Linked DNA regions of Sus scrofa. The protein of the gene in region 2 binds, or shares a complex with, the protein of the main gene of each other region. Links are inferred from orthologs where the notes say so. Each region holds a gene or a part of one and is shown on either strand. Other genes may lie near its edges. The genes, in order: RGS8 and GNAI3.

Region 1 (3,590 bases), on a different chromosome or scaffold from region 2:
ACCACCCAACGCTCCTGTTCAGACTCTTCTCCTGGGGCAGTGGCAGGGGCGACAAGGCTGCTCTTAGAATGTTTCGTGTTTCCCTAACTCTGGACTGTTCCAATGGATATGCACCTCGTGTTCGACAGCAGAGTTGGCAGCAGATGCACGTTTCGTGTGTAAACAACGTTTAAAATACCCTGTTTGAGACTCTGATCGTTAAATTAATTCTGGCAGCTTAAGCTAAGGATGGATTTTCACCTGTGGGGACAGGGGACTCCTACCTGATCTAACCAGGAACACCCGAATGAGGCTGCGGAGCTCCGAATGTGGCGTTCCACAGGTCCCTTCAGGAGGCCTGCGTTCTCGCTTCTCGATGGTTCGTGCAGACCCACCAACCCTCGCTCGCAGATACGCACAGATATACGGCAGGGCGGGGGACCCTAACAGCCAGTGGGACTCAAGAGCCTTCTTGGCCTTGTCTAGCGGGGGCCAAGGAAGGAAGAGATTCAGGAAGTTACTGGATCGGGATGCACACTGGAACTCTGGTGTATCGAAAAGGGCCCCAACCCCCACTCGACGGGAGGAAAGGATTCAGGCCAGGTCTCAGTTCCCTGCACTCCAGCACGGATGCCTCAGCTGGTGCTCGTTGCTTTCGTCAAGCTGAAGGTTTGCGAGCTCTGCCGTGAATCCAAATCCAGCGGCTGTGAATCACGCCAATGGTACCTCCAGCACGTTCTCCGTGATTCAGTCCACCTGGAGTCCAGCCTCCTCTTCTGCTTTCTGGCCCCTCTGCTGAGGTTTCATCTTCTCAGCACTGCAGTCTTGGGCCAAAGCGAGCTTTTGCCTGGGCAGCTGGAATAGGTTTCCTGCATCTCGCTCATCCTCCAAAGGAGATTTTCCCGACGTATTTCTAAGAGCGGCGCCAGGGCACCACGAAGCCATTTTAGGAAGGTTCTCCACACCCAGAGGTTCACAGTGATCTTAGCCTCACCTCCTGTTCCATGTTCAGTTCCCCAAAGTCAGCGACCAAGACGGAAGCTGCTGATCGGCCAAGACGGCCCTCGAGCGAGGGACCTTTCCTAGAAAGCATGCTCCCAGGAAGCAAGCAGGAAAGAGAGGTACAGCCTAAGTCCCCATTCTCCCCCATCATAATTACATGACCTGCATGGAAGGGGGAAGAGGGAGAGACAGGGAAAGTACTAGGCACCGTGAGAGCTGTCCGTGCTGCGGGAATTCACCTGCCTTTACCAAGCTGTCCATTAGTCTAAGAGATCAGTGAAGCATGATGCCACAGGAGGGTGAGGGCATTAAGCAAGAGAGAGGTTACACAGTGCCCCACTGCACAAAAGTCCACTGGGGCTACATCCCCGGCTCATTCAACTTCTGGAAAACTTCTTGGTAGAATGGAGGAAGATTTGCAAGCTGAATCTTTCTTAACAGCAGCTCCACATCAGAAGTCATTGAGGGACATCTCGCAAGATGCTTTCTGGAGATGCAAGAGGATGGGAGTCTTGTAAATTTCCTAGGCTGAGACGGGCAGGGAGCCCAGCTTTACACACTCGTCCTACGGAAATGGAAGAAACAGCCAACTCCATGGAGCGTGCCCCTTCCCTCAGAGGCCACCTGTCAGCAACAACGCTAACAACCTGGATTCCACCGAGACCTCTCTCCTAAACTGTGAGGCCCAGCGCCCAGGACTGGCCATTCCACTGTGACAGCAAATCACAAGAGTGGGCCGGCGTCTTCTAGCTCTTTCTCACAGGGCGACAGGACACGTTAGAGAGTCGGGAATCCTAACTGAGGAGGGTGTGGACGTGGTGGAAACTGCATTTGCACTATTTACAGAGTAGCCCAGCAGAGCAAATGTGCCTTCTCAGGGGCAGTGACCCAAGGCAGGATGGAGGGCAAGCTGCCGACCTGAGAAGGGTGACGGTGACAAGGTGCTACCACTAACCAAGACACAAACGTGGGTAAATGGAATAGAGTCCGAGCTCTGGTGGCTGAATCATACTCTGGAATGGCCCTTCATCCCTTCCTCACTCCCAGCCTCCCAACCGCAATGCCACTGCTTTTGAATACCTATGACATTTCACATTAGAATATGGTCTTGGCAGCAAGGGGAGGGGAAAGCCGGTGAATCTCCAAGAGTCCCCATCTGAGGTCTAACTCAGCCTCCTCTGGCTCTGGGACAGCAAATCTAAGTACATTTTAGACCTCAGGAACCGGGGGTAAGAGTCTTTCTCCATGAGACTGTGTACTTTTCCCTGGGCTTGGTCAAAGCACGTCAGGGACGGCTCTTGCATGTTCTTCCTTGTGGCTTCTCGGGTCTGGAAGTCTATGTTTACCTGGAGACACAAACAGACAGCATAGTCACAGGCCCTCGAGGGCCAAGCCACCTGGCAGCTGGTCCTACAGCATAATTATTAATGATAGCATCTTAAATACGCAGGGTTATTCAGGCTTTTCAAACCGCTTTCTTGAAGGTCACCCATCCCTTTCGATCCCAGGAGGAGCCTCGTGAGGTTTGAAGACCAGATACTCTTTGCCGAATTTAAAAGTAAGGATACTGAAGACAGAGATATGAAAAAGCTGGTCTAAGACACCATGGGAAATACCTAGGGCAAAATCCCAAAGTCCTCAACTCCTAATCCAGAGGTCTTCACCACTGTCAGGTAAAGAGTTAATCTGGAGACAAGCATTAATGCGGGGTCCCTAAGGCAAGTTTGACCTTTCCTTCTTCCTCAGTCACTAAGGAAACATGCCCCAAGGAGAAAGATGATGTTTAGAATGTGCATCTCTGTCCAGCCAGCATTAACAGGAGCCCAGAGCATTCTGGCCACTGGCCAAAGCCCTCCTCTATCCCAAGTCAAAGCAGAATCGAAGAGGTCTAGGTATGTAATGCATCACAACGCATAGACAGCAGATATTTTTCTTCTATAAAACCTTCCCGGGAAGTTCCTGTCCTATTAACGAATCCGACTAGGAACCATGAGGTTGCGGGTTCGATCCCTGGCCTTGCTCAGGGGGTTAAGGATCTAGCGTTGCCATGAGTTGTGGTGTAGGTCACAGATGTGGCTTGGATCCTGCATTGCTGTGGTGTAGGCCGGTGGCTACAGCTCCAATTCAACCCCTGGCCTGGGAACCTCCATGTGCAGTGGGAGCGGCCCTAGAAAAGGCAAAAAAAGACAAAAAAAAAAAAAAAAAAAAACCTTCCTGGGTAAAACTCTGTTTTATAACTCAGAATAGCAGTACCTAGAAAGTCATATTATTATATAAGTGGTTATAATAAATTATCACAAAATAATACAAATAACTGTAATAACTCCTTAATAAACATGACCAATATTGAATAGGTGTTTGATCCCTAATACTCAGAGTAGTCTTAAAAGGTAGGTAATATTGTACCCTTTTACATCAGGGTAAATGTGACTCAGAGAGACTAGGTAACTTGACAAAGGTCACACAGCAAGCAAGTGGTAAAAATGACAGTGGAATAAGATTCCAAAGTACATGCTCATTCCATCAAGCTGTGCTACCTTCTACCAGGAAAACCAACATGGATGCAGCATCATCTATCTTGCAGAATCCCTAGAGAAACATAGTTCCTG
Region 2 (3,819 bases):
GGTGCCAGACACTATCCTAAACATCCTGAAGTACATTAACTCATTTAACCCTCATAACACTCCCGTTAGTACTGTTACTATCCCAGATGAAGAAACTGAGGCACAAAGATGTTAAATAATTTACCTAAGAGCACACTACTAACAAATGGGGACTGGAACTCTAACTCCAGTAACCAACTCTTACCCATCACACCACTCTGCCTTTCAAAATGGTTTATCTCTCTAATAAAAAAAAAGAACAATGAAAAAATATAAATCCCCAACTTGCTTTCTGCTTCCAGATTCAAAAGTTTGTTTTCCCTTTTTTTTTTAATTGAGATATAATTGAAATACATTTTTCTTACTTTAAGGAAAACGTTTTAGAGATTATGGAAAAAAGTAAATTATATTTTAGGATAAGACTCTAAGAACCTAATATCTAAACCCAAAACTTAAACCGTATTTTCTAACTCCAAGTTTTATTTTAACCTAATCAATAACAACAAAGCTTCAATTGTTCACGCACTTTATGTTCCACTCGAGGTTAGTGTTAGTCCACTATTCCCTTCAGGGTGGGGGGCGCTTACTTGCTATTAGGAATCAGCTGCTGAACTTCTGTCAGCAGTGTCCTCATCTACCATCTAGAGTAAGAGGAGGACCTGCACTGCTTTGTCTTTTAACTAGTACTAGGAGGTATGCATACAAATGATTAGCTACTCTTAAGACATATGTTTGATGACAATCATAAAATGTTTTAAGTGTAAACTCTGCCAAGCTGGTTCATTGTACCAGATCTATAGTGACTAGGAGTCTATTGCCAGAGAATTTTCTCCTTAGAGAGTGAGAGAAATAAGACACTGTTGAATAATTTCTCAATGTATGTTTGAAAAAGAATAGTCATCTCATCTCTCCATGACCCAACTTTTTCTTTTGGCTGATCTTACGCAGTTCTTTTCAACCTTTAGTCCTGACACCCGGAATGAGGCACTCATAAACTGGTTCTAATACAAGGTCATACCATATATAGGTTTTAGGAAAGCTAAGATTATATATTTCGCCACGGATCTTTCAAGGGGAGACACATACTGGTACACCATTAATTTCATTTTGCTTCTCCATTTTTTTCTATAAAGTCCATAAAACTGAACCCTGTGAAGTTCCCAAGGTGGGCTTTCCACACATATTAACATTTACAGTATCATTCACTAACAGATCAACATTTTATAAACATTACCTCATAACTGAGAGGCAAGTAAGCAATTACACAATGCCTTGCATATAGGAGATGCTCAATAAATGTTTGAATAAATGGATAGTGGTTTTGCCTAGAGAGAAGAGGAAAAGGAAGAAATGATAGTACTTCATAACAGATATCTATATGCCAGCAATAAAGTGGGTGCAGCACCTTAATTAGATCTGGCTATTTATCCTGACATAAAAAGACCAACAGGATTTACCTACCTAAAGATCAATCTATGACATCAACAAAAAAGTTTCCCACACTAAATAAATAAAAGTCACAACATATAATTATAAATGGATTACTAACCTTATAGCACACAAAGAGATATCTCATTCTTTCAGTTTCTTGGGTGATGATTTATGGAGCCTTTGCTACTTTTATTAAATAAATTCATCAGTATAAGCGGTTCCTCTATTCTAAAAATATTCAGCTGAACTGCTATTTTCCTGTATCAATTTTCAAATCTGTTTTGGTGTATTAAGATTTTAAGACCTCAACTAGTATTTAATAATACCTAAAGTCTGTGTGAATTTTGCAAATCCCACGAAGCAATTTTTTTCAAGAGAAAATAGAGAATCTGAGCTAGAAGTTACATTTGCATGCAACAGTGCTGAATATCGCATTCTACATACAAGCATAATGAAGCAGCTAAAAAGGACATCATACACTGAAGGGGAAAAGTTTACTCCTAACCTCAAAGGTCACAAAAGCAGAAGACAGGAACCATAAAGACAGTTCTATTATTTACATAAGACTGTTGACGCAGAGACAAGCTGAAGCTAGAATTACTAATGCTGATGAGAAAATCCACTGCATTAGAATACAAGAATTTTCTCTCTCTATAACAATAATTGTTTACATGTCATCATGCCTCTCCAAAATACCTCTAGCCCCAGATCAATATTCATTCTGCACTGTATTAGGAAGCTGGTTGTGCATAATACTTACTGTGTACAAACCAAAGGCCACGACAATATTAGCACCGTCCCATTAAACTTAAAGTGTGATCCAAGAAATGACTGACCCTGATAAAAAGCACTTCTACTTTAACATCAAAATGCCAGAACAAAGCCACATAATTAAACCAAAACACTGGTTTTCTATCTTTTTAGTATTGTTGTTACCCTTCTAAACAACAAACATTCAATACCTGTTTTGGTGATTCCAACAAAAAAGCAGCTGAAAAGAATAAAATTAAAAATAAAATAAATTGGTAACCATGTGATTACTTTTATTGACATGTAAGTTACAGTTTCATTTTGAATTTAAATTCCTGCAAATGGACAAAAATATTTGATGCTATTTAAAGAAAGAAGAAATGTTTACATTGACACTTAAAATAGTCAAATACTGGCTGATGAACATAAGTTTCTAAATCAAGGAATACTGCCTAGAAAAATGTTACCCTGATGAAGAGACTAACTAGAGCAAAGATACATCTAGGAAGAGGCTAAGGACTTACTTGAAGTACAGGTCTTTGAAAGTGAAGTGTGTCTCCACAATGCCTGTGGTCTTCACTCTTGTCCGCAGGACATCTTGCTGAGTTGGAATGTAGTTGGTTTGGGATATTCTATCCAAATCATTTAGGTAACTAAATAAGTAAAATACAAATTTATTTTATTTAGTAAAGCCAACCATACACACAGCAAGTCCATAGACTAAACTCATTCCTTGCCAAAAGTGAATTCCGAATCTGTCACTAAAGTGGCAGAACAAATCAGATCTTCAATATCATAGAAATAATGAGGAAAAAGTGAACCAAACATAGGACAATTAAAGTAGTTTTTATATACACTACAATAAAGTGGTTTTAATTTTACCAAAATTAAACTGTGAAAGCCAATTTAAAACAACATGGAAATGCTATTCTTATTAAAGATCCCTGAAATTTAATATTAAGTCAACTAGGCACAGCCTACTTATAAAACCCTAACCAAAACAAAAGCCTTCAGACATTTAAAGTTAATGGGTCATTCGTATGTTTAAACATTTGCTAGGACATTAGAAAATAGCTATCTGGATTACTAGAATTAAAAAGAACTAAGCTCAATAAGAATGAGTATCTCCTGTTTTCACTCAAGAAAAAAAAAAAGCTGTAGGTTTAATTTTTTAAAAACCTATGCCGGAGTTCCCGTCGTGGCGCAGTGGTTAACGAACCCGACTAGGAACCATGAGGTTGCGGGTTCGGTCCCTGCCCTTGCTCAGTGGGTTAATGATCCGGCGTTGCCGGGAGCTGTGGTGTAGGTTGCAGACGCGGCTCGGATCCTGCGTTGCTGTGGCTCTGGCGTAGGCCGGTGGCTACAGCTCCGATTCAATCCCTAGCCTGGGAACCTCCATATGCCGCGGGAGCGGCCCAAGAAATAGCAACAATAACAAAAGACAAAAAAAAAAAAAAAAAAAAAAAAAAAAAAAACCTATGCCAAAAACTAATTGTAAATACCTCCAAAGAAACTTCACTTGATCAGTAAAATAGTTTAAAAACTGCTTCAAAGCTAAACTAAATTTTTCACGATTTCAGGGTTCCTAAAGATTTTTTTTAAGAATAGGTGATAGCATTATAAGTGAATCATTAATGATCTTCTATAAAATTAAGAACA

Evidence for each region.
Region 1: the proteins of GNAI3 (region 2) and RGS8 are in contact, whole or in part, in a crystal structure (PDB 2ODE), measured with the Homo sapiens proteins. The link is inferred for Sus scrofa from reciprocal best matches to the Homo sapiens genes GNAI3 and RGS8. Residues at the interface, in NP_006487.1 of Homo sapiens: Glu65, Gln68, Ser75, Val179, Lys180, Thr181, Thr182, Gly183, Ile184, Val185, Gln204, Ser206, Glu207, Lys209, Lys210, His213, Ala235, Glu236, Asp237, Glu238; in NP_001095920.1 of Homo sapiens: Thr76, Glu77, Phe78, Ser79, Glu81, Asn82, Ala117, Pro118, Glu120, Val121, Asn122, Ile123, Asp124, Phe125, Gln126, Arg128, Leu153, Lys156, Asp157, Ser158, Arg161, Arg164.

What each region holds. Positions count from the first base shown.
Region 1 is NC_010451.4:123,956,022-123,959,611, forward strand, and holds part of RGS8 (regulator of G-protein signaling 8), read right to left. Parts: intron 2,328-3,590; coding exon 2,145-2,327; 3' UTR 1-2,144. UniProt on the Homo sapiens protein: Regulates G protein-coupled receptor signaling cascades, including signaling via muscarinic acetylcholine receptor CHRM2 and dopamine receptor DRD2.
Region 2 is NC_010446.5:110,540,899-110,544,717, forward strand, and holds part of GNAI3 (guanine nucleotide-binding protein G(k) subunit alpha), read right to left. Parts: intron 2,814-3,819; coding exon 2,685-2,813; intron 1-2,684. UniProt on the Homo sapiens protein: Heterotrimeric guanine nucleotide-binding proteins (G proteins) function as transducers downstream of G protein-coupled receptors (GPCRs) in numerous signaling cascades.